7 linked regions of the Mus musculus genome follow. The protein of the gene in region 2 binds, or shares a complex with, the protein of the main gene of each other region. Links are inferred from orthologs where the notes say so. Each region holds a gene or a part of one and is shown on either strand. Other genes may lie near its edges.

What was found.
Region 1: the proteins of Rhoa (region 2) and Pkn1 are in contact, whole or in part, in a crystal structure (PDB 1CXZ), measured with the Homo sapiens proteins. The link is inferred for Mus musculus from reciprocal best matches to the Homo sapiens genes RHOA and PKN1. Residues at the interface, in NP_001300870.1 of Homo sapiens: Met1, Ala2, Phe25, Ser26, Lys27, Asp28, Gln29, Val43, Asp45, Ile46, Glu47, Gln52, Glu54, Thr163, Lys164, Arg168, Glu169; in NP_002732.3 of Homo sapiens: Glu40, Arg43, Arg44, Ile46, Arg47, Leu50, Lys51, Lys53, Glu54, Glu57, Asn58, Arg60, Arg61, Leu77, Arg78, Ser81, Leu84, Asp85, His88.
Region 3: the proteins of Rhoa (region 2) and Arhgef12 are in contact, whole or in part, in a crystal structure (PDB 1X86), measured with the Homo sapiens proteins. The link is inferred for Mus musculus from reciprocal best matches to the Homo sapiens genes RHOA and ARHGEF12. Residues at the interface, in NP_001300870.1 of Homo sapiens: Arg5, Lys7, Thr19, Lys27, Val33, Tyr34, Pro36, Thr37, Val38, Phe39, Glu40, Asn41, Val43, Asp45, Glu54, Trp58, Asp59, Ala61, Gly62, Gln63, Tyr66, Asp67, Arg68, Leu69, Leu72, Ser73, Asp76, Glu97; in NP_056128.1 of Homo sapiens: Pro766, Asn768, Gln770, Glu790, Val791, Glu794, Thr798, Ala801, Cys888, Gln891, Pro892, Lys899, Arg922, Arg923, Leu924, Gln925, Lys927, Asp928, Pro931, Thr932, Met934, Gln935, Thr938, Lys939, Leu942, Leu943, Asn946, Arg968, Leu971, Asn972.
Region 4: the proteins of Rhoa (region 2) and Myo9b are in contact, whole or in part, in a crystal structure (PDB 5HPY), measured with the Homo sapiens proteins. The link is inferred for Mus musculus from reciprocal best matches to the Homo sapiens genes RHOA and MYO9B. Residues at the interface, in NP_001300870.1 of Homo sapiens: Asp13, Gly14, Ala15, Glu32, Tyr34, Val35, Pro36, Val38, Phe39, Gln63, Glu64, Asp65, Tyr66, Arg68, Leu69, Leu72, Asp90, Glu93, Asn94, Glu97; in NP_004136.2 of Homo sapiens: Glu1731, Gly1732, Arg1735, Lys1736, Ser1737, Gly1738, Ala1739, Ala1740, Arg1744, Lys1772, Gln1773, Arg1776, Arg1840, Met1841, Ala1845, Ile1848, Ile1849, Pro1852, Cys1853, Arg1856, Pro1863, Leu1864, Ser1866, Met1867, Val1870, Thr1874.
Region 5: the proteins of Rhoa (region 2) and Rock1 are in contact, whole or in part, in a crystal structure (PDB 1S1C), measured with the Homo sapiens proteins. The link is inferred for Mus musculus from reciprocal best matches to the Homo sapiens genes RHOA and ROCK1. Residues at the interface, in NP_001300870.1 of Homo sapiens: Val38, Phe39, Asp65, Tyr66, Arg68, Leu69, Leu72, Pro75; in NP_005397.1 of Homo sapiens: Lys999, Val1003, Asn1004, Leu1006, Ala1007, Met1010, Asn1011, Arg1012.
Region 6: the proteins of Rhoa (region 2) and Net1 are in contact, whole or in part, in a crystal structure (PDB 4XH9), measured with the Homo sapiens proteins. The link is inferred for Mus musculus from reciprocal best matches to the Homo sapiens genes RHOA and NET1. Residues at the interface, in NP_001300870.1 of Homo sapiens: Arg5, Lys7, Tyr34, Pro36, Thr37, Val38, Phe39, Glu40, Asn41, Tyr42, Val43, Asp45, Glu54, Trp58, Ala61, Gly62, Gln63, Tyr66, Asp67, Arg68, Leu69, Arg70, Leu72, Ser73, Pro75, Asp76, Pro96, Thr100, Pro101, Glu102; in NP_001040625.1 of Homo sapiens: Glu177, Ala178, Glu181, Gln270, Leu271, Lys274, Lys281, Gln291, Leu294, Glu295, Arg300, Lys301, Leu302, Asp303, Trp305, Ser306, Asp309, Arg312, Ser313, Arg314, Val316, Lys317, Leu320, Leu321, Glu324, Gln347, Leu350, Ser351, Ile353, Asn354.
Region 7: the proteins of Rhoa (region 2) and Arhgef28 are in contact, whole or in part, in a crystal structure (PDB 6BC0), measured with the Homo sapiens proteins. The link is inferred for Mus musculus from reciprocal best matches to the Homo sapiens genes RHOA and ARHGEF28. Residues at the interface, in NP_001300870.1 of Homo sapiens: Arg5, Val38, Phe39, Glu40, Asn41, Tyr42, Val43, Glu54, Ala56, Trp58, Arg68, Leu69, Leu72; in NP_001171164.1 of Homo sapiens: Lys1140, Ile1142, Arg1144, Glu1145, Val1146, Ala1147, Asn1148, Glu1149, Phe1154, Ile1156, Ala1158, Ser1159, Ser1160, Pro1163, Glu1164, Met1165.

What each region holds. Positions count from the first base shown.
Region 1 is NC_000074.6:83,685,680-83,689,179, forward strand, and holds part of Pkn1 (serine/threonine-protein kinase N1), read right to left. Parts: intron 1,506-3,500; coding exon 1,361-1,505; intron 1-1,360. UniProt on the Homo sapiens protein: PKC-related serine/threonine-protein kinase involved in various processes such as regulation of the intermediate filaments of the actin cytoskeleton, cell migration, tumor cell invasion and transcription regulation.
Region 2 is NC_000075.6:108,326,660-108,330,159, reverse strand, and holds part of Rhoa (transforming protein RhoA precursor), read right to left. Parts: intron 2,577-3,500; 5' UTR 2,575-2,576; coding exon 2,419-2,574; intron 1-2,418. UniProt on the Homo sapiens protein: Small GTPase which cycles between an active GTP-bound and an inactive GDP-bound state.
Region 3 is NC_000075.6:43,001,219-43,004,718, reverse strand, and holds part of Arhgef12 (rho guanine nucleotide exchange factor 12), read left to right. Parts: intron 1-2,818; coding exon 2,819-2,861; intron 2,862-3,167; coding exon 3,168-3,273; intron 3,274-3,500. UniProt on the Homo sapiens protein: May play a role in the regulation of RhoA GTPase by guanine nucleotide-binding alpha-12 (GNA12) and alpha-13 (GNA13). Acts as guanine nucleotide exchange factor (GEF) for RhoA GTPase and may act as GTPase-activating protein (GAP) for GNA12 and GNA13.
Region 4 is NC_000074.6:71,349,214-71,352,713, reverse strand, and holds part of Myo9b (unconventional myosin-IXb), read right to left. Parts: intron 2,580-3,500; coding exon 2,519-2,579; intron 1,788-2,518; coding exon 1,666-1,787; intron 828-1,665; coding exon 700-827; intron 545-699; coding exon 369-544; intron 1-368. UniProt on the Homo sapiens protein: Myosins are actin-based motor molecules with ATPase activity. Unconventional myosins serve in intracellular movements. Binds actin with high affinity both in the absence and presence of ATP and its mechanochemical activity is inhibited by calcium ions.
Region 5 is NC_000084.6:10,178,993-10,183,052, forward strand, and holds the start of Rock1 (rho-associated protein kinase 1), read right to left. Parts: upstream 2,801-4,060; 5' UTR 2,326-2,800; coding exon 2,233-2,325; intron 1-2,232. UniProt on the Homo sapiens protein: Protein kinase which is a key regulator of the actin cytoskeleton and cell polarity.
Region 6 is NC_000079.6:3,915,421-3,919,624, forward strand, and holds the start of Net1 (neuroepithelial cell-transforming gene 1 protein), read right to left. Parts: upstream 2,801-4,204; 5' UTR 2,646-2,800; coding exon 2,518-2,645; intron 1-2,517. UniProt on the Homo sapiens protein: Acts as a guanine nucleotide exchange factor (GEF) for RhoA GTPase. May be involved in activation of the SAPK/JNK pathway Stimulates genotoxic stress-induced RHOB activity in breast cancer cells leading to their cell death.
Region 7 is NC_000079.6:98,203,366-98,207,589, forward strand, and holds the start of Arhgef28 (rho guanine nucleotide exchange factor 28), read right to left. Parts: upstream 2,801-4,224; 5' UTR 2,708-2,800; intron 1-2,707. UniProt on the Homo sapiens protein: Functions as a RHOA-specific guanine nucleotide exchange factor regulating signaling pathways downstream of integrins and growth factor receptors. Functions in axonal branching, synapse formation and dendritic morphogenesis.

The sequences.
Region 1 (3,500 bases), on a different chromosome or scaffold from region 2:
AACAAGAGAAAAAATGTTGGTCATATTAGCACATGCCTGTAATCAACCATAGCATCTGGGAGACTGAGGCAGGAGAATTACCACAAGTCCAGGGCCAGTGTGAGTAGGACAGCCCTTGGCATCTGTGATGGTTGTTTCTATTCTATTCTATTTTGCCTCACCATGTAGCCCCGGTTGGCCAGGAACTCCCAAAGATGTGCCTGTTTCTGCCCCCTGCGTGCTGTGATTAAAGGCATGTGGGATGAGAGGCCTGTGTCACTACGCCTGGCTCACCAAGGCTCAGTAACCACTTCTCAGCTCTGTGCATGTGGTAAAAACCAAACATGAAAACATGCCAGTAAAACTTTCTTTACAAAGGCATGTGGGCCTGGCAGTGCAAGCCTGTGGTTCCAAACACTCACAGGTGACGGCAGGAGGACTGAGAGTTCAAGTCTGGCTTAGGCCACAGGGTGAAATCTTTTCTCAAAAGAAAAAAAGAAAAAGAAAAAGAAAGGGATAGAGTGGGGGATGGAGGCAGAGACAGGCGATCTGTTAGAGGCAGCCTGGTCTACATAGATCAAGGCTAGCCAGAGCTACATAATGACACCCTATCTCAAAACGCAATCACAGGCTCGATATGGTAACACAAACGCTTAATTCCAGCACTCAGGAGGCAGAGGCAGGAAGAACTCTGCCTCTGTGAGTCACAGGCCAGCCTGGTTTACATACTAAGATCCAGGACAGGCAGGGCTATTATAGAAAGATCCTGTCTCAAAACTAAACTGAAAGCAACCAGGGGTGGGGCTAGAGAGATGGCTTGATTATAGAAAAGCTTTCTGCTCTTCCAGAGGAGTCTGCTTACCCAGACCCACGGCATATGACTCACAACCACCCGAGACTCTAGTTCCAGAGATCTGATGCCTCCTTCTGGCTCCTGAGGCACCTGCACACACACATGCACACATGCATGCACACAGGCACAGATAAATCTTAAAACAACCCTAAAAACAAGGGATAGGGTTTGCCAAGTACTACAGTGCCACATAGATTTTATCATTGAAGGGTTAGGGTCACGGTTCGATAAAAACACAGGCCTAGTTTATAGGAGTCCCTGGATTCCACCCTAACCACAACAAAAGGAAGGAAGGACAAAAGGGAGGGAGGGAGGGAGGGAGGGAGGGAGGGAGGGAGGGAGGGAGGGAGGGAGGGAGGGAGGGAAAAAAATCAGGTGGATTTGGCCTGAGGGTGGCGTTTGGCAACAACTATCCTAGCCCAAACCTTGAATGAAACAACCAGAAATAGACAGGAATAGGCATTGTGGGTTGCAGGTGGACCCCTGGAAGGCTGAATGCAGGCAGCCAATGTCCAAGAAGGGTCTTACCTTGGGCTTCATCAGGAGCTGCCTGACTCTCCAGCTCTCCAGCCTGTAGTGCCTGGAGCGCTCTTCGAAGCTGCATGCGGATGATGTCAATCTTGGTCTTACTGTCCTGCAGCATCTGCTGGGCTGTCAACAACAGCTTCCGGTCCTGGGGACAGACATGGAAGGTGGCAGGCAGAGTGGGAACTCAAGTCTGAGCTGCTGTCCACATCATAACAGGTAAGAGCAAGGACACATAGTCCCAGCCTCCTGGGCCAGTGCAGAGGCAGGCAGTCCATGGGCTTCAGTCCCAGCTCTGCTACCCAACAACTCAGTGTAGCTGGTCTTTGCTACTTCATGTGTTCTTCTTTTTCCACCCTTTATCCCCTCAGTTTCACCCCCATCACTAGATAGGAGAGAAAGAGGGAGAGAGGGGAGGGAGAGAAACAGTAGGGAGAGAGGGAGAGGGAAGGGGAGGAGGAGAGAGAGGGGGAGGGACAGGGACAGAGAGAGGGATCGGGATCCTTGGGTCTAATTTCTCTCTCCTTTCTCCTTTGAGCACGACTACTAACAAACTGCAATCAACCCCCTGTATGACCAACAACCGCCAACCCTGCCGACTGGGGCCGTGCTGATTTATGTACCCTCTGAAAAGTCCCCAGAACTCCAAATGTCACCAATTGCAATAACTATCTGCAGCTGGCAAAACTGTGCCCCTGCTAGAGCATGAGGCAAATCATAGTCAGCTGCTGTGGACAGTCTGGAGCAGCCCATATTCCACTCCTGGGATTATAATATTTCTGTGTTTTTAAAGAAACCAAAACTCTAAAGCTGTCACTACGTTTCTCCCTTCTGTTTTAAGCCATGAACTGTGTGTAGCGGGAGATTATAAACAGACATTTTCAATGAAATAAGTGCTTTTCGGGTCCGTGGCCAAGACTTTCAGGAGCCCTCTCCTGCTGGGTTCCTATCTTGATCAGTTCTGATGGGACCCACAGCTTTTGCTTCCCTGTGGAAATATAAACACATCTGCATCCTCCAGGCAAAGCTCTCACTGGCTTCCGCTCTGATGTTCTTATAGTATATCGGTTGATTTAATTCCATGGTTTTTCCTATAACCTGGTGACTCTCTCTTGCTGAGTATTGAGGTTTTTCTGCCTGCTTGTTATTTCCCGGCTGACAAGAAGCAAACTGTTCCTACTTTTTTTCTGTGTGGCCTCAAGATAGGCCGCAGGGCCAATTCTGGATAGTTAGAAACTGCCCTGGATAACTCTCTTGGTCCGACACACTCATCAGTCCAACAGCAATTCTTGCCACATCACCTGCACACTCCTGGAGACTGGACCTTCCTTCTGGTTTATATTTAGAAAACACATTTCCTTATACAGATGCCTCATTCAATTTTTTTTCAAATGACAATATTTCCCACAATTTAGCACCAGGCATTTTGAGATGTAAGACTTTTAGCGGCTTAGTCACAGTCTCTTTGCAAATGACTGAATTTCCTGTAATTGAAGTACCAGGCATTTTGATATTGGACACCTATAGCTAAACCTGACCTACTATATTAGCATGGCACATGTTAGATCCAACATTGGTCATATCCCTTATCCAATCATCTATAGGCACTGCTTGAACCTTTAATGGTCTAATAACTTTTTTACATTTGGTATTCAAATTTTCATAACCAAGTCCTCTATCAACACCTGTCTTGCTTGATAGTCTAATATGGCTTTGTTCACAGCTGAGACTAATTTTTGTAAAAAAAATAAAAATAAAAAATAAGCCGGGCGTGGTGGTGCACACCTTTAATCCCAGCACTCGGGAGGCAGAGGCAGGTGGATTTCTGAGTTCGAGGCCAGCCTGGTCTACAGAGTGAGTTCCAGGACAGCCAGGGCTACACAGAGAAACCCTGTCTCAAAAAACCAAAAAGAAAAAAAAATAATAATAAAAATAATAAAAAATAAAAAAATCAGTGAAGGCCTCTTCAGAACCTTGTATATAATCTTTGTAAATGAGGTGGACTTTCTCCTGGGCTCCTCAGCTTTGTCCCAAGCTCTTTTTTTTTTTAAGATTTATTTATTTATTTATTATATGTAAGTACACTGTAGCTGTCCTCAGACACTCCAGAAAAGGGAGTGTCAGACACTCTAGAAGAAGGAGT
Region 2 (3,500 bases):
ATATCAAATATCCTGCACAGCAAATATTTATGTTGCAATTCTTGAACAGAAGCAAAATCGCAGGTATGGAGAAGCAATGAAAATGGGTTGCAGCATTCGGAAGGTTGAGAACCACTATTTTAGATAGAGTTGGAAGGGCAAATAAGGTTAACTATATAATAATTTCAAAAAAATAATGAAAGTATTTATTAGATTAACATGTTATGAGAACAAAAGGCCACCCAAGGAAGAAAATCAAACTTTGACTAATAGACTAAGTAACTTTTCTCCTTCGGTGGCTCCTGAATTGCTCTGAGGTAGACAATACCTATGGATACCCTTTTTCAGATCAAACTCCCTTATTTCAGAGATGTCTTCTTAAATGAAGGACTCTCCTATCTTTCCTGGTAAGCTGTGTTCAAGAATAACAGCACAGGAAAGATAACTATGGATTATTACTCTAAGATTGACTGACTGATTGATTGATTGATTGATTGATTTTGGTTTTTCGAGACAGGGTTTCCCTGTGTAGCCCTGGCTGTCCTGGAACTCACTCTGTAGATCAGGCTGACCTCGAACTCAGAAACCCACCTGCCTCTGCCTCCCAAGTGCTGGGATTAAAGGCGTGCGCCACTACTGCCCTGCTCAAAGATTTAAGTAAGCATGCTATTTTTCTTTTCTAGACATGGTTGCAGGAAAATTAGGTTGTCCCCAAATTCAGGAGTAGCTAATGGCAACTCTGTAGGTATGTGCTTCCCGTGTCTAGTTTTTATGAAATTCTAGAAGAGAATATAGGGCCTCATGCAGGCTCTGGCAAAAACTCTACCAACTAAGCTACATTCTCAGTTTCATCAATAAATTTCCTATAGACAAGATCCTGGTTTATCCAAGATATCCAGGCTCAGAAAATATGTCAAAGAGGAAATACTGCTGACTCCCAAACTTAGGAAATTATAGTTATAGATATGCAAATCTCAATCAAGAAGGCTATCATGGCAACAGTCAAAGGTCAAAAAGACCTCAGCAAACTTCCACCTATGGTTTTATATGTGACATCCGTAAAAACCAGTCCCCATCAGGTCCACAGAAACACTTGGATCTAAGCATCTATGCAAATACTGAGACTGAAGTGGCAAGACACTGCAAAGGTAGGTCACCTTCAAAGAATATGCAGGTTTCCAATGTCCCCAGCCCAAGGGTGTTCAGGTACATAACCAGTCCTCTGTGTGTGAGTGTGTGTGTGTGTGTGTGTGTGTGTGTGTGTGTGTGTGTGTGCGCGCGCGCGCACGCGTGCGCACTAAGGCTGAGAGATTTCTCCAAGTTGTCAAGCTCATTTTAACTTGTGATCTCTCTGCTCCAAGTTTCTAAGTTGCTCTAACTACAGGTCTGGATCACTACACCAATATTCTTTCTTTCCCCGAGGCAGGGTTTACTCTGCCTGCCAAGTGCTGGGATTATGTGTGTATGCTACTATGTCTTATGCTAGTCTGGAATACCTTTATACTTTACTGTAATAAGACCTCATGTTCTCCGGGCTGGCCTCAAACTTGTTATGTAGCTGAGAAGCTGAAAAGGACCTTAAATGTCTGGTTTTCCTGTCTCTTGCTGCCATTACTAGGATTAGAAACCCGTGACACCACATCTGGTTCATGTGGTGCTGGAGACTGAATAGCGGCGGTCACTACTATCCTGAGCTATATCCTGAGAGCCGTTTACTCACCTATATACATACATACTTGTTTGTTGAGTTTAACGGACAACCTTACTCTCTAACTCAAGCTGACCTGGAATTTATACTGTAGGATTTCAGACATGAATCACCATGCCCAGCTTGTATTCCCTACATTATTTGTATTCTTAGCCCAAAAAAGTGCTCTATAATGAGAAACTCTGGAGAGCAGAGCAGCTAGTCTAACCCACTACACTAGCTGGGCACTATTACATATACCTGTAATTATCTATGTAGTAAGTGGTGGAAGGAAAATCCTGAATATATAAGACCCTGATTCAAAAATAAACAAGATGGAGCCCAGAAAAATCATGGGTTCAAAGCCAGCCTTGGTTCAACAATGATATAAAAATCAGCCGGGTGTGGTGGTGCACGCCTTTAGTCCCAGCACTTGGGAGGCAGAGGCAGGCGCATTTCTGAGTTCAAGGCCAGCCTGGTCTACCGAGTGAGTTCCAGGACAGCCAGGACTACCGTACAGAGAAACCCTGACTCTCAAAAAACAAAAACAAAAAACAAACAAACAAAAACAAAACAAAAACCAGCTTGAGTTGTCTCAACATCCAAGTACCAACCAATCAATTCGTCCAAATCCCCCCCAAAAAAGGTGGTAGAAAGAAAATGGATTTCTGTTTCTAACATTTTGGTCACGCTGTGTACACAGTACCCAACACACAATGGCACCGACTCTCCCTCGCGGGACTTGTACTCACCTGCTTCCCATCCACCTCGATATCCGCCACATAGTTTTCAAACACCGTGGGCACATAGACCTCTGGGAACTGGTCCTTGCTGAAGACTATGAGCAAGCATGTCTTACCACAAGCTCCATCACCAACAATCACCAGTTTCTTCCTGATGGCAGCCATCACTTAAACATAAAACAAAAGATATTATTTAAAATGCATAAGAATACATAAGTAGCCTCAGATTATGACACATACTAGTAGCCATATGGGTAGAAAGGAGGTACACATTGGGGCTGGAGAGATGGCTCAGCGGTTAAGAGCACTGACTGCTCTTCCAGAGGTCCTGAGTTCAATTCCCAGCACCCACATGGTGGCTCACAACCATCTATAATGAGATCTGATGCCCTCTGCTGGTGTGTCTGAAGACAGCTACAGTGTACTAATAACATTACATAAGTAAATCTTTAAAAACAAAAACAAAGCACACACAATGATCAGAGTGAATAATAATGTAATAATGTGGGATACCGTTTGAGCATGGTAACAGGCAGATCTACGGGAGTTTGAGGCCAGTCTGATGTGCACAGTAAGTTCTAGACTAGCCAGAGCTACACAGTGAGACTCAAAAACAAAACAAGTCGGGCGTGGTGGCACACGCCTCTAATCCCAGCACTTTCTGAGTTCGAGGCCAGCCTGGTCTATAGAGTAAGTTCCAGGACAGCCAGGGTTATACAGAGAAACCCTGTCTCGAAAAACCAAAAACCAAAACCAAAACCAAACCAAAATAAACCAATAAATCGGTCAAGAGGCTGGCTTAGTAAAGGGCTTGCTGCTTAGGCTAAAGGATCTGAGTTCAAATTTCCAGCATAGAAAGTCTGTCAAAAGACAGCAATTGTATTTTTATAAACTGACAATGAACAACCTGGAAAATGAGTAAGTTTACAGCCTGACATGGTGGTTCATGCCTGTTATCTCAGTACTTGGAAGGCCCAGGCAGAAGGGATAAACTTCCAGCAGGAGCTACCTCGTCCATTCCTGGCCAGCAGAAGCTATAGTGTGTATGTTTCTTTTTTTTTTTTTTTTTTTTTTTGTTTTTTGTTTTTTGA
Region 3 (3,500 bases), about 65 Mb from region 2:
TGCATACACACATCTTCTTATACACATGCAGGCCAGAGGCCAGCATCAGGTGTCTTTCTCACATTATTATTATTATTATTATTATTTTTACTATAATTAGTTTTTTTATTGGTGTGTTTCATGTATACTTGTGCTAAGATGCAGAGGGCAAGCAGTGGAAGTCAGTTCTTCCACTGTGTGGGTCCCAGGGATTGAATTCAGGTTTTAGGCTGGAATAACAAACTCCTTCCCTGCTTAGCCATCTCCCTAGCCATCCATGTTATTATGTTGAAACCAGGTCTTTCACTGACTCTCAGCTCAGTCACTGACTTAGATCAGCTGACCAGTGTGCTCCAGGGATCCTCCTGCATCTGCCTCCCCGCCACACCCACTGTGCCCTGCTTTTATGTGGATGTTGAGGGCCCAAGTTCAGGTCCTCAGTCCTCATGCTTATTTAGCAAGCATTTGTCTGTAGGAACTCTGCAGTCATCCCACCCCTCCCCATATTCTTTATCCCTTTAGTTTTACACAGGGTTTCACGTCAGCCATGAATTCAGCATGTCATTGAAAATGACCTTAAACTTACTGTCTTGCCTGTTTCCTAATTGCAGAGATTAAAGGCATCTGCGACCGGCCATATCTAGTTTTATGAGGTGCTTTATGAGGTGCTGGGATGACGCCCATAGTTTCATAAGTGCTAGGCAAACACTTCGTCTGCCACATTGCCAGCCCTTGTCTGTTCACACTTGTTCTCTTAGATGGCTGCTTTAAACTCTAGTCTCCATCACTTCTCTCCAAGATTCCTCAACAGAAGACTTTGTTTTTTATTTTACTGATTTTTTTATTTTCATGTATGTTTGTTGTCTGTGAGGGTAATGTACCACTTGTGTGTCAGGGACTATGGGTGACAGAAGACAGGGTCAGGCCCTAAGTGAACTCTGCGAGATCACATGCTCTTCACCACTGAGCTGTCTCTGCATCCCAGCTCTGACCCTGCTGCTTTCCTGGAAAGAGTGTAAAGTGTGGATGGATCACCTACTTCCCTCGAACTGTGCATCTACCTGCCTGCCTGCCTGTCGGCTGCTCAGGAGCTGTGCCAGCAGCAAAGTGTTAGGAGAATCCATACTAACGTATTGATTCTTCTTTCATGTGACCAGTCAAAATTATATTACTCATGTCCATATGTAAATGAATTAGTTTTTATTTGATTTCTTGTGGTGCTAGAATCACACCCCTGTCTCAGTGCACTCAGCAAGGCTGTGCTGTTGAGCTACACTGCTAACCCACATGTACTTTTTTGCATGTGTGCTAAAAGAACATTTCTGTTTTCTGTTTCTCACGTCTTTCCCTTTTCCATATCATTGAAACAGAGTCTTTTAGCCCAGGCAGGCCTTTGGCTTAAGATTCTCCCATCTCTGGTTCCCAAGTGTTGGGATTACAGACATGTATGAACATGTCTTGCCATTTCACTCTTCTTAGGGGCCAGAGATGGCTTGCTCAGCGGTAAGTGCTTGTTGTGCAAGTATAAGTACTTGAATTAGATGTTTGCACCCACATAAGGAGCCAGGCGTGGCTGTGCACACTTGTACTCCCAGCGCAGGAGGGAAGACAGGGAGACAAGGATTCCAGGGACTCTGCAGCCAGCCAGGCTAATAGATCAGTCAGTATCAGGTTCAATGAGAAACCCTGTCTCAAAAGAATAGGGTAGGGGCTGGTGAGATGGCTCAGCGGGTAAGAGCACCCGACTGCTCTTCCGAAGGTCAGGAGTTCAAATCCCAGCAACCACATGGTGGCTCACAACCATCCGTAACGAGATCTGACTCCCTCTTCTGGAGTGTCTGAAGACAGCTACAGTGTACTTACATATAATAAATAAATAAATCTTTAAAAAAAAAAAAAAAAAAAAGAATAGGGTAGAGAGTGATAGTAGAAGCCAACATTGGCCTTCACAGATGCATGCATGTACAAGTGTAAATACTTACACACATGTGCACACATCACATACACACACCAAAATAAATTATGTAATGGTCTCATAATATTTTAACACTGACTTATTTTCAAATTTACAACTTTAGATCTTTATAAGAATTATAAATTTAGGAAATATATGACTTTAATAGGTGTACAGTATAAAATTTGTATAAGAACCAAGATATTTCCTCTGAATACAAAATAATAAGATTTTCTGTTTAGTTATTGGGTAAAGAACATTATAGTCTGATAATAATTCTTCATGCTTATGGGGAGAAATCCTGATAGAAAGAAGTGTATCTTAAAATAGTTGCTTCAGTTCTACTGCAGGAACTACTGATTATTACTGATTGTTGTTGAGAGTTTAAGACTCAAAAACTCAACATAACATCCAGTACTTTTTCATCGGCAGTGTACTGCTGAGGGATTTAACAGTTAGCTAAGAACATTACTGATAATCACGTGGTCTGTAGGATGAGCCGCTCAGATTCAGACATGAACATCATACTTATGTGAGTCAAGTTTTCCTATATAATAGACGCATAGCTTAGGTTTACTTGTATCATTTCAGGTAATGCATAACTGATTATATTGACCAGCGTTTATAGTAAGCTGATGTCAGATAGTTACGTGGAGTGGTACCGAAGCATTTATTTTGCTGCCCGATAAAATGGCTAGTTCTTTGTTCACAGCAGAACTTTGGGGAAAGAGTTTATTTCCATGTCTAAGCAATAGACAGGGCTGTGTCACTTGGACGGGCAAGAACAGCTGGATTAGCAAACACCTTTAGGATAAACCTACACACCTTCCTCAGTCTGCCCCGGAAGCCTGCGGGGCAGCTCTGACTCTGCTTGTGTTGTTTCAGCACCTGAAGGTTCCAGTTCCTGAGGAAATCTCCGTGGATCTAGGTAAGTTTGAAGCACCCGAGTCCCTGAAGATTAGTGTCTCCATCAAACTGTGGCTCGCCTCAGATCCGCTGTTTTATGTTAGTTTAGTCAGGCTACTTTAACCATGTGACTCACAGCTGAAAGAGAGTCTACTACACTGAGAGGATGAAAGGATGAGAGCTGGCTTCTGACAGGAAGTGCAGTAACTGCACTGAGTAAGTTCTCTGGTGTAGTAAGTTCAGTGTGGATGTGCAATGTCACTGTGCTGCCAGTGTCAGGCTGCATAGACCATCTCTTTAGATCACTTAATTCCTCTTCTTTGTGCAGAAAAGAGAAGACCTGAGCTTATTCCTGAGGATCTGCATCGCCTCTACATTCAGACAATGCAGGAGAGAGTCCACCCTGAAGTTCAGAGGCACTTGGAGGATTTCCGGTAAGCTGGGGTTAGAGAAAACTTGGTGTGCTCATTGTGAGTTATTTGGCTTATATTTTTAAATAGGAAAAAGCTACATATGTAAACCATATGACCTTAGCCCTGTCGTTAAACATAGTGGGCATCTGAAGTCAGAGGGTGGATGAGAGTCCATAGTCTCCATTCAGGCCCTTTCAGCATGGAGGTGGCTCAGTGCAGCATCTTGACCCTCAACTTGTTAGGTCAAA
Region 4 (3,500 bases), on a different chromosome or scaffold from region 2:
CACACACAGGCAAAATACTGCAATATTATTTTTTTGATCCAAAGGAGTTTGTGTGTGTGCATACATGCATGTTGCAGCATGAATGGAGGTCAGAGGACAACCTGTGGGAACTGACTGTCTTTCCAGTGTGTGGGTCTGGGCATCAAACTCAGGTCATCAGGCTTGGCAGCAAGTGCCTTCAGCCCTACGCCACCTCTCCTCTTTTCCTGTAGACCTCATCATGTGCCCAGCTGACTTGAGCTCAGGTCTGGCCTGAGTGCTATGGAGCCTCCTGTGCTCTCAGCATCCCTAGAGTCTTCTGTATTGTTTAATCCCCTGAACCCAGGCCTGCCTGGACACGGCTAACGAGTGACATCCCAGTGGCTTACCTTGTTGAGCAGGAACTCGTCCAGAAACTTGAGCTCATTGGCATTAGTGATCTTACGGAACACTGACTCTCGCCACTTCTCGGACACTGTGATCTGGCCAACTTTGCGATTTCGGTTCTTCTTCCCTTTTAGGGGCTTCTCACCTGTGGTATGGCGGTGCTGCTGGCTAGAAGGTACTGCAGGGACATAGGGCAGATGGAGGCAAGGTCAGAAATAGGCACCCAGATGTATACCCAGGTCCACAGTCATCTCAAGGTCAGGTCCTGCTGCTAACACCTGACGGCTGTGGGTACGGCCAGGCAACTGCTCCTGGAGGTTAAGGGGAACCAACCGTCTAGAGTCTTCCTGGCCGGGGTCTCCTGTGCAGCCTGCCCTCCATTGCTCTCTGTCTCCTCTACACCCTCCAGGCTGGGCTTCTTATCCTTGGCTTTGTGCAGGAAGAGCCGCTTAAATGCAGATCTGCAGGAAAAACAAGTGTTTCTTTTTAACTTTAACTTTTATTGATGGGTATGTATGTGTTTGTGGGGGTCTGCTATGTGAGTATAGCACCTTCAGAGGCCCAAGGAGGGTGTAGGATCCCTCTGGAGTTACAGTGACAAAAGACTGAGTCACCAGATGTGGGTGCTACAAACTGAATGCCTGCCCTCTGGAAACAGATATTCTTAACCACAAAGAAGTCATCTCTCTGGAAGCAAGTATTCTTAACCATGAAGTCTTCTCTCTAGTCTTCTCTCTCTCCCTCCCTCTCCCTCCCTCCCTCTCCCTCCCTCTTCCCTCCCTCTCCCTCCTTCCCTCCTCTTCCCTCTCCTTCTTTCCTCCCTTCCTCCCTTGAGACAGGGTTTTACTATATACATCAGGCTGCCCTGGCACTTGGAGACCTTCCAAGTGCTAGGTTAAAGGCATTCGTCTGCACATCCAGCTGTGACAGGGGCCTTGACAACCTTGGCAGCTGGGCTGTGTGTGAGCAGAGCACTTTCTTTTATCAGTGTTGCCATGGTCATGGTGTTTCCTCACAGGCAATACTAGATGGCAGACTCGTCCATCTGTGTGTCATCAGAGCAGAAGACCTGGTCTGGCTGTGGCTTCCTGAGGCACCACCACCATGTGGCCAGCCAGGTGCGAAAGGTTAGTGGGCAGGTGTTCAGCAAGGCTGTTTGGAATTGTGCTTCAAACAACTACTGAGCCCAATGTGTCTCATTGTGAGTCACTTGACATGGGAGCCTCATTGCTGCAACCAGCTTAGCAGAGCTGAGGCGGGGCCCTGGGTGTCTCTAGTGGAGGTACCCTGTTCACTTACTTAGAGTCACCCTGGGAGCCTGGAGACAGGCCTGCATCAGGACCAGCGGATGGATCTCCTGACTTCTTCTTATGGATGGATGGCTTCTTGCTGCTAAAGTCCCCATCGATTTCAGCTGAAGTCTGCCAAGTGATAGGTGTAGGGAGGGCAGGGTGAGAGTTACAGCTGGGGCCCAGACATGGATCAAACTTCCCCATCTTCACCCATCAACACCACGATGAGTTTTCTATCTTTAATGATTCTATTTTATATCTTGATTTTCTGAGACAGGGTTTCTCTGTGTAGCCCTGGCTATTCTGGAACTTACTCTGTAGACCAGGCTGGCATCAGACTCAGAGATCCATCTGCCTTTGCTTCCTGAGTGCTGGGATTAAAGATGTGTGCCACTACTACCTGGCAAAGACTTTTCTTGTTAAATTACGTATGTGTGCAGGTGCTCACGGAGGTCATAAGGAGATCCCCTAGAGATTGTGACACTTGATATGGGAGCTGGGAGCACAACTTGTGTCATCTGCAGGAGCAGCAAGTGTTCTTAAGCACTCAGTCATCCCACCAGCCTCTCATTTTACCTTTAGAGAAAGGCTGTCAGGCTGCTAGGAAGCATGTGGGCTTGTATGTGTGACCCTCCTGCTCTGCCTCCCAAGTGTCAAGATGATAGGTATACACTGTCGAGATCGCTCAGCATGTGTGTGTGTGTGTGTGTGTGTGTGTTTGTGTGTATACACGTGTGTGCTTATGGGGAGGACGTGTATACTGGGGGGAATGTGTATGTGTGTGTGTACATGTATGTATGTATGTATGTATGTATGAATATATGAATGAATGCATGTGTATGGGGCATTAACAGCTTTACCTGTACCTTGACTGGGGACAGCTTGGAGACGTCACTGGTGGAGAAAGAGATGCGCCTCTCCCTGTGAGACACAGACCACAGTGTTACTAACATGCACCATGCAGAGGGTCTCAGACCCAGTGTAGTGACTCTCAACCCAGGTGGGGTTAGTCTTACTCATCCCAGCAAATACACACAGAGAGGTAAGAGAGCTATGCACTGTTCCGTGCATCTATCCCTTGTTTCATCCATTCTCTTATCCATCCACTTGTTCATTAGTCCACCCATCTACTCATCATCCAGGGACCTGTCCATCTCCAATCAACCTGACTTTCCATCCACCACCTACCAGCCCACTAGTCCATCATCTTTCTATCTCTCTGATCCATCATCTCTATACCTATTCACCTGTCAGATCCATCATCCACTGACCCTCCATCCTGCAAACCACTGACCTGTCAGGCCACTAGCATGTGATGGGAAGGGCCAGTGAGAACTTTCAACATTCTGATGCAGGATGTCCCCACAGACAACTCCTGGCCTCAATCTGTCAGTACCACAGCCAAGAGGTCCTGTGTAGGCAGCCTGCCTCTGCCTCCACACTCCCTTCCTTCAGTCCAGCAAAGGTCTCAGGGGCTAGAGATGTGGTCCCTAGATATCAGTTCATATAGGTGCAGTCAGTGGTGCCTTTTTTATAAGCTATGGGTAGAATTCTGTGAGTGAGCTCCAGTAATGGAGGGGAAATTGAGACCCAGGGATCAGGGAGGGAAGGAGGACTCAGAGGGTCCTGCCTTCCACAGCCAGCCTCTTACAGACTGCCAGGCAGGTACACTATGTTTGGAGGGGTGGGGATGGTCAAACCTTACTCCGGCCTGGACCTAAGATTCTTCTGCCCTTTGTGTTCAACTCTGCAGGGCATGTCCCTATTTGGCAATCTTGGTCACACCTGTTTATGGCCCTGGGGCCCTGAGCTGGTGTTGCCCACCCTGGTGCCCTCAACCCT
Region 5 (4,060 bases), on a different chromosome or scaffold from region 2:
GACTACCTTAGCAATGAGGACCTTGAGTGGTTGCTTCTTTGACTCTTTACCTATCACCTTTTGATCTCTCTCTAGGGTATTCCTTTTCATTGTATCAGTTACAATTTGTAATCTATAGAAATGACTTCCAAGTCATAATTTGTTATTGTAAGTTAATTCCACATCTACAATAGTCTACAGGACATTACCGCACACTCATCTCACTATCTTGTCAAATACAGCAAATTATCAGTAGGTCTATTCTCAAGCAATTCCCAAACTTTATTATTTTCACCATTCTTACTATTTATAACCCAGGCTCAACATTTTTGGAGTTGTTTGACTAATGCCTCTCTGGTTCTCCTCAACTCAATCACATTCCATCAATTCTTCCCTCTTCATTTTCATGTCCTAGCTCAGGGCTCCAATTGAGTGAGGACTATTAGAGTAATCTAAAAATTCTCCAATCTCACTTTATTCCCAGACTTTTTCCATACAAACCTATCTCACAAAGAACTAATGAATTAATTTTCTTCATTCATTCTGTGACAGCCCAATTACAATCAAATCCTCCAAATCTAACCCCATCCTTCCAACTTTACCTTGTTTCTTAAGCATGTCACAGCCAGTCACGGATGCCCATTCACCCTCTATCTGTTATCCTCAATTCAGTAGCCAGTTCATCATAAAACACACTCTGGCTCTCTCAACTCACAGTCATTTTTTCCCCTTCAGTTTCCATTATATAGACAAGTGATTGATTGAAAAATACTGAATAATCATTTAGAATTAATCAGTTGTTTTCTCAATCTGTAAACTGTTTACTTGGTTTCTGTATATGTATATAAGAATGTTTTCCTAAGTGGATTCAACTCTCTAAAAAGTCCATGTAATATGTATTTATTTTCTTTATACTCCCCACAGCTCTATCAGGTTCCTACTGAATGGTACTGTAACAAAAAAGAAAACTAGCAATTAAAAAAAAAAAAAGCAAGCTCCAAAACCCTCCTTATAATCTACTTCCTAATAGGAGGAGCAAAAGTAAAATCGGGTGAGCAGACTGATGGTGGAGTGCTTGCCTAGCTAGCATGTGCTGGGCTCAACTGTCAGTACCACTAACAACAGTAATAAACCTAACAACAACTTACGGAACTACTGAAACACTATCAGACATGGAATACATTAGAAATGTATAGTTAAGTATGTTTAGAGCAATTCTGAAAGCTTTGATGAGAAACCTTACATATTTAAAGTACAGAATAACTGAAATATTCACTAATTTTAATTTACAAAATTTCCTGATTCAGTATGAGATTTTTAAATGTATCTCTCTGAATGGCATTATTCTTAAATCTCCAAACTATTGAGTATACAAAGTAAATTCTCTATCTCATGTCCAGATAGAGAAATATGATTTTAGAGATCTTGTGATTTTGTTTAAAAACTAAAAGTATTAATATATAATTTTTAGTTGGTAGTAAACGGAAAAATTCCGTTGACAATTGTATTGGCAGTACTGAAATGCCCATTATTACAAATAATTGTATTTGCTATCAACAACTGGGTACTTCTTATGGTAGGATTTTGGCTTTTTGTGACCTAAAAACTTTAGAATGTTTTAAAGTGAAAATAATTAGTTTACTACCAGCAAAAAACAGTTCTTAATATATGTGAAATATATTTACTAACTGTTTTAAAAGCCACCAAACTTGTGTTGGCCTAAGATTAGTTGTCGTAGGTGTATGCATTTAACGTTCAACAGTTTCTTTAGCCTCAAGACACCTAAAATTTTATCTTAAAAATCATTTCCTCTGTATTAATTTTCCATTATCATTTCCAAGTCTAAACTCCATAATTCTATAAATAGAAAGTAGATTTTTCAATCCTACTGTCAAACTAACCAGGGAGGTTAATACTAAGATTGTCTTTCAACAAGCTATACAATAGAAACGTTGACGTGTTGACGTCCTGATACGATGGCTGCAATCGTAGTTTCTAAGTACGCTCGGTGGACTGAGAAGCTGATTCAAAACCAGAAGTTCAGAGTAGCTAACATAGAATCACTGGAATTGCCAACAAACAAACAAAAAAACCAAGGTGGGGGGTTGAACTATGATATTTACTGGTGCTCCAAATTTCTTGCAAGAGAGAAATCTGGCACCTGCCCAAAACTATGCACACCTGAGACTCCTTGCAGTTAACTAGATTGCAACCAACCACCCAAGGCAACCCAGAGAAAACAGCAGCACTCACCAGCAAACAATCTGAATTCACTTCCGATTTGGGATCCCGCAGCAGGTTGTCGATTTTTTCAAACCGAGTCTCAAAACTGTCCCCAGTCGACATGATGCTGCTACTTGTGACGATACCTTCTTGCCCGCAGCGGAAAGCAAGTTCAACCAACTTCCTCCGCGGTGGGTTTGTAGCCGCAGGGCAGAGGAGCCGGAACCTCGGGGTCACCAGGTGCGCCCGGTTCCCCCTCGTCCCCCTCACTGAGGGGACCTCTGCTCTCCAGACCCCAGGCTCGGTGTGACAGCGACCCGCAGCCGCTCGGACACCCAAAGTCGCATCCCACCCGGCAGCCCCTCGCGACAGCCGACAGCGCCGTCGCCAGCAGCCCGGTCGCTCCGGCGAGGCACCTCAGCCTAGCGGGCCCCGGCTGCCTTCGCCATGGCGGGGCCCAGTCCAGAGAAGGGCAGCGGCGGGAAGAGGGAGCGCAGCAGGGTGGAGACTCCCTCGGGGCAGCCAGGGAAGGCGAAGAGGAAAGGCGAAAGCGAAGGGTGGGTGAGGAGCTGCGCCAGCTGCCGCCGCCGCCGCCGCCGCCGCCTGGGCCCCGGGCCGGCCCCGCTCCGCTCAGAGGCGCTAGAGGTGGTCTAGCCCTGCATCCCCGGTTCCACTCGGCCCGGCACTGACTAGCCTCGGCCAAGAGCTGCTCCCCACAGAACAGGCTCACTCTCCCATTTTCTGCGGTCGCTGCTGGGGTTGCTAACGCGGTGTCTGGCGGGGCAGGGCGAGGTCGGAGGCCCGATGAAGTCTCAGGGGAAGACCCGCTGCAGTGGGCCGGCGAGGAAGACGACCGTAGGGGCCGTGCGGCTGATGATGCGGGAACTTCTGGGAGGGGCCGCGGTCCGAGCTGGGAAAAGGGCGAGTCGCGGAGGCGAATGCCTGGGGGTGGGGCGAGGAGGGCTCAGAGGGACTAATATGTCCGCCTTCCTGTTCAAACAAACGGAGACCGCCGGCGCTCTGTGCGCATGCGCGGCGCGGGCGTTCGGAAGGGAGCGAGCTGGGCCTCGCGCACGCGCACGCAGGCGCCCGCCAGGGCGGGGCTGGCCGGGTCGCGTCGGGGAGGAGGGAAGTGAGGCGGGGCCGTACGTGGGCGGGGCCTGGCAGGCTGGCCCCTGGGCGGAGTCGGAGACGAGCTGGAAGACATAGGGGGGGGACTTTTCCCAGCTTCTGGTGGCGGAGCTGGCAGGCGCCCGAGATTCGCTTCCTTTGGGCCTCTGGTCCGGAGAATTCTGACAAGAAAAGAAGGCGCTTGTTATCACTGAGATAATTACTTTTTGCGGGCTAGGAGGGTGCTTTTCTTCTGGCGGTACCAGAGAGTTATTTCAGCACCAGTCGAGTTTGGATTTTCCGGAGCACTCTGGTGGGTTTTTCTTGATGCCCACCACGCAGAATCTGTTTACGTGGGAAAATCACCACGCACTCAGCGTTCCCAAGCTGTGTGTCAAGGGAGCCTTAAAATGTTGACTCTGGAAGATAGAATCATTAGAACTCAAAAACAGTTTAATTAAAGAGGAAAAATTCATAGGAAAATCAATGTTTGTAAGCTATTTCTATTCGTTTCTCACAGCAACTTGTAGTTCTGTCCTGTCTGTGAGATTCTGCAACTTCAGGGCATTTAGTAAAATTTAAAATCGTGGTTTTTATTACAACTAAAGTGGGATATGAAAATAACGGGCATTTCCCAATTCAGTTTTTCACTGACTGTAGGGTGACAGGCTGAAAAAGGTTTCTGATTATGGTTTTCACTGCCTTCAGTAGGTGTCCAACCTGTATTTGATTCTAATCAACCCTTGGA
Region 6 (4,204 bases), on a different chromosome or scaffold from region 2:
CTTTGCCCTATTAACCTTTTCATTACTTCTGGTGGGTGGTAGGTTAGAATGGAGGTTGAAGCATTTAAGAACCCTTATTAAAGTAAGTTTTGAAAATAAGACAACACCTATAGGCTTATATATTTGAATGCAAACTCTTGAAAAGGATTAGAAGGATTAAGAGGTGTGGCCTTGTTGAAGGAGTATGTCACTGGGGATGAATTTTGGGGTTTCAAAAGCCCATGCCAGGCCCTGTCAGACTGTCTTCTGCCTGCAGATGGGGATAAAGCGCTCTGGCTACTTCTCTAGCACCATGTCTGCTTACATGCGTCCCATGATGATGATAATAATGGACTACCCTCTGAAACTGTAAGCCAGGCTCAGTTAAACCTTTTCTTTAAGTTTTGCCTCGATTATGGTGTCTCTTCACAAAAATGGATCAGTGACCAAGACACCTGGGCATGGGCCTTGCTCTGGAGTGTGGTTGATATACCAATACTCCACTGGAACAAAACAAAACAACAATTTTCCTTTTCCCAGGAGGTATCAATTGCAAACAGCTTCTTGGTTCTGAGTGGGATGGTGTGTCAACTCTCCCATTCTCAGTGCTAGGATCTTGTCTGGTTTGAACCTGTTGCAGGTCTTGTGCATTCCTTCAATCTCTGTAAGTTTAGATGTGCATCAGTGCTCTTATGTCTGGAGGATACTGTTTCCTTGGAGTCATCTACCAACTCTGGGCCCTAGAATCTTTCCTCTTCTGCACAGAATCAAAAAGGCTTAAATTCACTGCATGATGTGACCAACGCCTCCCAAGAGAATCTAAGGTTCCTGAGAGCAAGCGCTCCATCTGCTTTTGTTCACCTGAATCCCCATCATCCTCAACAGTGTCTGATGCTAGGGCAGGTGCAACTGTATTACACTGAGCACACGTGGAATGAAGCACTGCTTCTGTTCATCTTCAGGAAGTCCTCCTTTTCTGCTCCTTCACTAGCCCATCCTAATTCTTGTAATTCTCAGTCTCAAAGATGCCTTCTTTCTGCACTCTGACTTCTTAAACACACGGTCTGATTGGAAGAGAGGAAGTTTCAGAAGGCAAGAATTCTGGTAAATATTGCCTTAAACTTCAAACTCATAAAAATCAGTACTAACTGAAAGAATCTAGCTCTTTATAGAGTTACTTAATACAATGGGTTTGCCCATGCCTTGATAATGAAAGTAAGGTGTTTGCTTTTTCCTCAAAACCATTTGTCATGATTAGATTATAAGCTATATAAAAGATTAATTTAACATCCTATCAAATGACCTGGGCGTCGAGGTTCACACTGCAATCCGAGAACAGGGGGAGGCTAAGGAAGAAAGACCAGTTTTTAGGCAGAACGGTTTGGAGCCTGCTTGGTGACAATTCCTCTTCTCACCAATAGTCCTATGGATGTAAGACCACCTACAGTCCACCAGTTTCCATGGAGAACAGCTCTGGTACAGAAGTACAATATGAGTTTGTGGCCAGCGTCTCTACACAGGTAGTGAGTTCTGGGGTAACCAAGTTACACAGTGAGAACTTGTCTCAGAAACAAAACCAAAAAAACCCTGAAATCATGTCAAGTGGACCATGGGGATGTCTGAAAAGATGGAGCAGACACAGCACTGTTACTTTAACAGATTTAAAACTGACAGACAAGATTTCTGCCGAGTTTTCTGCCGAGGCCCATGATAAGTACTGATGTTCACACAGTGCCTTATATGAGGCAGACACTATCATAAACTCACTATGTAGACGTAGATTTGAACAAAGTTACATACTTTGTAACTCAATGTCTAACGTTATAATGGGAAACCATTGCATTCAGTACTTTGAGACCATTTCTCATATTTCGAAGGGCAAAAGAATGACAGAGTAGTCCAGACAAATGCCATTTCAATTTCCTATTTAATAAAAATATTATGACTCCCACAGCCTCTCTTCCAGACACAGATTTCTGAAATCAACCTAGTGTTTGCCTTTCCCAGACACATAGAAATGAAGATACAACACAGAATGTGAAAATGTGCTAATAACTGAAAAGCCAGAAAGAGTCTTTCTCTGATCTCTTCATTCCAGGAGCCTGTCCTGTTCTGGTCTGCAAAGGACATTTCATTTGAACAGCCGCTTTTAGGCTGAAAGGGTTGGTATCTGTTCAGGTGACAATTCCTCTTCTCATCACAGGGTCCACGACAGTCTTGATCTGAGCGCCTGCATCCACAACTAGTTTCTGGTAGAGAACAGCTCTGGTGCAGATGTACGGTTCCCCAGGGACGGGGTTAAAGGAGATTGTCAACAAGTCCAACGAGTCCACCCCTTCTACGCAGGGCCGAGCAGTCGCTGTGCAGCCCTCGGTGCAGCCCGCCGGGCAGCGCACTCTCCTCCCGCGGCATTTCTGCCCGGCCTTCCCCAACCTCCCCTACTGCACTGCCAGTCCTTGGTCACCCACCGTCCAGTCCATCCCGTCCTGAGTCTCCAGACTCGGTCCCCGGCTCTCACCCACCTCCCGCCACCCTCACCTCTCGTTCGCCGCCGGCCCGGGTGTGTCGGCCGGAAGCCCCGCGGCAGGTTCCTCGCTGAGCATTGAGACCCTGCGGCTTCTCCTCCGAGGTCGGGGCTGCTTCTGAGCCGCCGGCTCTGGCTCCATGTCCGGAGAAGGGGGGTTGGTGGGGCGGTGGCCCAGTGCCCAGGAGACCGATCGTGGCGGGCACAATGCCCGCCAGCTTCTGCGAGGCAGCAAGTCGCCTTCTAGCAGAGAGCGGCTACCGCCGTCATCCGGGGATTTGAAAATGGCGGCTGCCCAGAGATCGGCCAATCAGAGAGTGGGAAGCGGTTGCTAGGCTACGTGGAGTCCCGCCCTAATCAGAAGACTTCATACCAAACTTTTAGGAGCTCCAGTGACAAAGGGAAAGTGGTAAGGTGAAAGTTAGGAATTTGGGGATTTATTTTAACTACACACCTTACTCCTGAAAGGCAGTCTCTATTCACTAGAACTTTCACTTGCAGGGCAGGAAAATGGATCGGAAGCTGTTTATCATTTGTTGTTGTTTAGCGTTAGACAGGATGAAGGTATTGACCCCAAAGCAAGAGGCAGTTGGACGTATAAACACTAAGTTATACATGTGGAATATATTCCCAATTGCCAAAGACAATACTTTGTTCTCCAGGATGTCTCTAGAGAACCAGTGAAATCTAGTTATGTACTCCTGTCTTTCAGTAAGTAGGACACAGTCGCTTTACCGAATGGAAAGGGCTGCTTTCTCTGCTTGCAAGACTGCAAAACGTGCAGCATGAAACAAGGGACCCTGCTCAGGTTATTATGTGAAGATTGGTAAATAAAAACGTTCTCTGATTTTAAATATCGCTAATGGTCTTAAATGTAGTCTCTCTTGTATACAGGGAGATATTAATGATGTTGTGTATAATAGAAAAATTAAAGGCAATCTAAATGAATGACTGGGAGATGTCTAAATATAACTGATTAACTGTGAAGACTGCATTCAGCCGATAAAGAAATGGTCTTCTTCAGGGAATACCATTGGTTAGCCAATACTAACAGCTAGCCCTGAAAACATACAAATAACATCATACAGACTGAGCTGGCTGTATTTGTGTATTTAGGAACATATATGTATAACATATTGTTACATATTGACTATGTAACAATAATTAATAAAAAGAGTCCATGAATGTGAAAGATAGCAAGAAGGGGTATAGGAGAGAGTTGGGAAGGAGAAAAGAGAAGGGAGAAAATGGTGTGATTATATTATAATCTTGAAAATAAAAGAAAATTAAAAATAAGAGGTATATAGTAAAACAAAACATTGTGATTTTAACTGAAAGCATAAAATATGAAATATAGAACAATGATGGCTAGTTTTATGTCAATTTAGAAAAATTCTGTTTTAGGGTTTTACTGCTGTGAACAGACACCATGAAAGAGACAGCCCTTATAAGGACAATATTTAATTGGGGCTGGAATACAGATTCAGTCCATTATCATCAAGGCAGGAACATGGCAGCATCCAGGCAGGCATGGTACAGGAAGAGCTGAGAGTTCTATATCTTCATCTGAAGGCTGCTAGCAGAATACTGGCTTCCAGGCAGATAGAACAAGGGTATTCAAGCTCACACCCACAGTGACACACTTACTCCAACAAGGCCATGCCTCCAAACAGTGCCACTCCCTGGGCCAAGCATATTCAA
Region 7 (4,224 bases), on a different chromosome or scaffold from region 2:
TTCCCCAGCCAGATGCCTTGATTGTGGTGCAGGCAAAAATCCATTCTGAAAGCAGGACCAATCCTAAAAACACAAAAGTGACAGAAGTGTCTCTCTGTGCCTGAAGTCACCCACCCAGGGGATTAAGGCAAAGAGCAGCATGGAGCACACAGCAATTCCTCTGATTTGTTGAAGGAATGAAAACTGAAGAAACTTTTCACAGAATGAGAAGCATGCAGGAGAAATTTTCAAAATGTCCGATTAAGTTTAGACAATATAGTTTCAATACCATTATAACGACAGTTGTCACCAGGGCTGGATGAAATTACAGAGTATAATCTGCTCCAGGCAAAAACCTCTCCTGGTAAGCAAGAAAAATATCTCTAAGCTCAGCTTTACCAAAGCAGGAGATTCAAACCCAAGCCTTTGGGGTGGTGTCATGTTTCCAATACAGTTGTAACATGACAAAATTCCCTGAGTTTCTGGGCTTCAAATCTACTACTGTTTTTAATTTAGTCCAGCATGACCCCACTCTTGATACTAAATCTGACCTGAAGTCACAGGGACAAGCCCGGAGCTTCTTTTTCCCACTGAAAGTAACACAAGTGCAACTTCAGTGAAACCAAACCTACACAGACCAGAGCTGTCTCAATAATACCCCAAACCCAGGGCATTCAGGCAGAATAAAATGACAGCCCCCTGGGACTGTGGGAGACATGCAGGCTCTATTTGGCTCTCTCCTAACCATTTACCAGCAAAGAAGAGGGTTCCAACATTTACACTGTTCATCTTTTTTCTTTAAGAATCAAGACTTGATCACAAACTCTGGCAGAACTTGGTTAAGAGCCTAAGTACCGATTTTATATCAAATACTTCATCTTCAATAGTATAGTTGGCCACTAATACCCACTTGTTATTTTTTTTTTCCTCTTCTCACATGGCATACAAGGGAAAGAGAGTCACATGTATCAAACACATATGAAATTCCTGCCCAGTGGAAATCTTAGCCACAAGAATGGTTCCTTATGAGAACACAATAAGAAAATATTTCAGAATTTTCCAAATTATATATATATATTGAAACCCTAACAGGGCTAATGAGATATCACAGAACCTTCGTCGCCGACTCTGATTTCCTTCTGTACCTTTAAGTGTTTCTTAACCGCTTAGAGGCAGACGGTACTTCAGAGGAAAGTCCCTCCAACACACCTGTTAGACAAACTGCTGGCCATTGGCCTGGCTGTGCCGCCCTGATAAGGGAAAAAACAGTCCAAAGCAGAGCAAACACTGATTCTCTGTTCTCCAGTCTCATGTCACATTAGCCGGGACACGCCCCAGAGTCCCTTACCCAAGAACTAGTTCTGTGCCTCAGTTTCCCAAACCACAAAGTATCAAGTATGATGCTATCCAAGTTCTATAATCAAAAATAATTATGCATAATCACTATAAAGTCTGCATCGGAATATCACTTTGAAATGCTACAACCTCTCCAAAAGGCATCTGCAATGTTCTCTTCCTTCAAACACTCCAAAGGAGTTAGCGCTACTATTCATCAAGATTAGACAAACACCTATTTGTTTTAACATTCACATAAAAACTCAAAATAGAGCTATGGAAAGCTTCCCAGGAAAGGTTATCAGAGCTTGAATTATCGTGTTCAAAGTGGTTTCCACAGAGCCTAACTAGGGCAAGCCTTTGATTTTGTTTGTGTTGTTGAGAATAGAATTTCATTTTACTGAGACAGCTTCAGGGTCTAGGAACACGAGAGGGCAAAGTACAGAAAAGCAGTGTGTCCGTTCTTTATAACTGTAATTCTTGACTGCTTGGTGCAGAATCGAGTGCTCAATCTCTACAACTTGGAGTGTGTAGAGGCTGGCACTTGAGCAGGGGTCAGGGAGTCAGATGCTAGCAAACACAGATGTTACCCTTCCCCTGGGCCCACCCAGCTGCAACCAATAGGCAGGCTCTGTGGGCTCCTAAAGTAGTCTCCCTTAGAAACCTAACTGGTGTCTGGGAAACCAGAGCTGGGTTTCCTGGGTGGTCTGAACACCCAGCGTTCACAGAGCTCACAGCAAGCGAGAACGCCTTCTCCACCTGTGACCCCTACCACCCACAACCGAGTATTCCAGAGAAACTCATGGCACAAGCGCACGGATTCCCACCCAATGCTAAAAGCCCCTCCCAAACAAGATGACCATAGATGCTTTTATAAACTCAGCAAACGTTTCCACAAGAAATAAATGTCCTGAACTTGAGACTGACCAGCAGTCTGGGGTACATCCCACACACACACCAAGCATATAGGTGAAGCTGGCCAGAAACACAGATGGGAAGAGGAGAACCAGGCTCTCGAGGTTCACCCTTCTCCAGCCGCCTGCCTCTGATTTCCATCGCTTGCAACTAGCTTTGGTTGAGCTCCGTCACCCTCTGCCCCCTCCCACCCCGCTTGCCCGAGAGGGTGAGGGGTGGCCGCTGCCTCCCGTTTGCGCTTCACAGCTGCTGCCTCCGACCCGGCAGCGCCATGCACTTGTTGCCATCCCCAGGTACCAGGAGGCGGCGCCCATTCCTCGGGCTGCCCAGCCGACAGAGTGCAGCCTTTCACCACCTCTGCAGACCCCTGCGTCCTCGGGGACCCTAGAGAAACTTTGTCCCCTGAGAACTCCGGTGGGCAAACTTCGCCCAGGGCTGCGGGGAGACAAGAGGGATGGCTCCCGTAATCCGCCTTTACCTGGAGCTGTGGCTCGGGAACGCCAGGAGCCCTGGCCAGGCGCTGTCCCCGAGGCCTGCCGAGGGCGACCCGCCGGCCAGCGTCGCCCGGAGCGGGGAAGCCGGTCCCCAGCTGCCCACGCCCCTCCGCTCCGCTGGCCGCACCGAGGGGCGGAGCCGCAGCTCCCCCCACCCCACCCCACCCCCGCTCGCCCGCCCGCCGCGCCCACAGCTGGGGCCACCCCCTGCGCCCCCTGGTCCCCGCCTGCCCACCTCTGGCCAGCCGGGCTCGTCGCCGCCTCATCACATGGCCGCGCCCGCCACCAGCTCCAGGAGGAAACCTGAAGCTGCTGCGGCTCCGCCGCCCCCTCCCTTCGCGGGGCGGCGGCCGGTCGCCTCGGCTTTCCTCCGGCGGCGGGCACGGAGCGGGACCTGCTGGGCCAGGGCAGGGTTGCACCCTAGCGGCGGCGGCGCCCGCTCGCCCCGGGGGCCTCCACGCCCTAGTGGCGCCGGAGGAAGGAGCTGGCCGGTCGGCTCCTAAAGGGAGCCGTGCCAGGCCAGAGGGAGGCTCGGGTTGTCCTCAGCTCAAAGCCACCACACCCGGGACATAATAGTGCCCGGGTCTGTTACAATAGGAAGTACTATTTTAAAACAGCCGACTCCCTCTAATTCATGAGGATGATGGAGGTTCCTCTGGCCCAAAGCTTTGCAGGCTCGATTCCCTATGCGTTTATGCAAACAGGTGCCTAAACGGCACCAACATTTGTTTGTTTGTTTTTGAGAAAGCCATAGCCACTTTTACAACACCTAACAATGTGAAAGGACCCCTTGGATCTTAAAGCACTGAGGCACTTAGCACTGAGTTGTCCCGAGTGAAAAGTCTCGCCATTGTACAGCTTACTATAAAATAAGCTTAAGATGATTATTCCAGCTTTAAAGATAAAATTAAGCGTCTACTTTTCTAAGTTCCTTTAATATTACCTTTATTTTTCTCAAGAAGACAGACCGACTACATGGACAGGAGAGATGTGTTGGCCCGTCCCAAACCATCACTGCCAGATGCCCTGGGCCACCCTCCTAACATACCTGTTTAACCAGAGCCTAAAGAATGGCAGGATGGCAAAAAAAAACCAAAAAAACAAAAAACAAATCAAACAAAAACAAAAAAACAAAACCCAGGGTCTGAGGTCTTTAGCCCTGTCTTAGGGCAAACGCTGCCCTTCCTTCTTTATAAAGGACCTGACATTGGCCTTGCAGTATTGACACTTGTATTCATATCCTCTGATGTCACACTGCAGAACCTTAGGTCCCAAAGAAGAGTGTTCTCCACTGAAGAACTACGAAGTCCCGAAGATAAAAAATAAAAGCAATAACACTTTTCTCGAACATCAATATTTTCAATGTGAAAAAGTCAACTGGAGATTGGCTGAATCAACACACCACACACAAGTAGTTTTCAAGCCTGTTAGCGGAAAAGTTTGTAAAAGAAGCCTTTGTTGATCCCTCTGTTGCTGTTGTTCTTTTGTTTCTTTTTCTTCT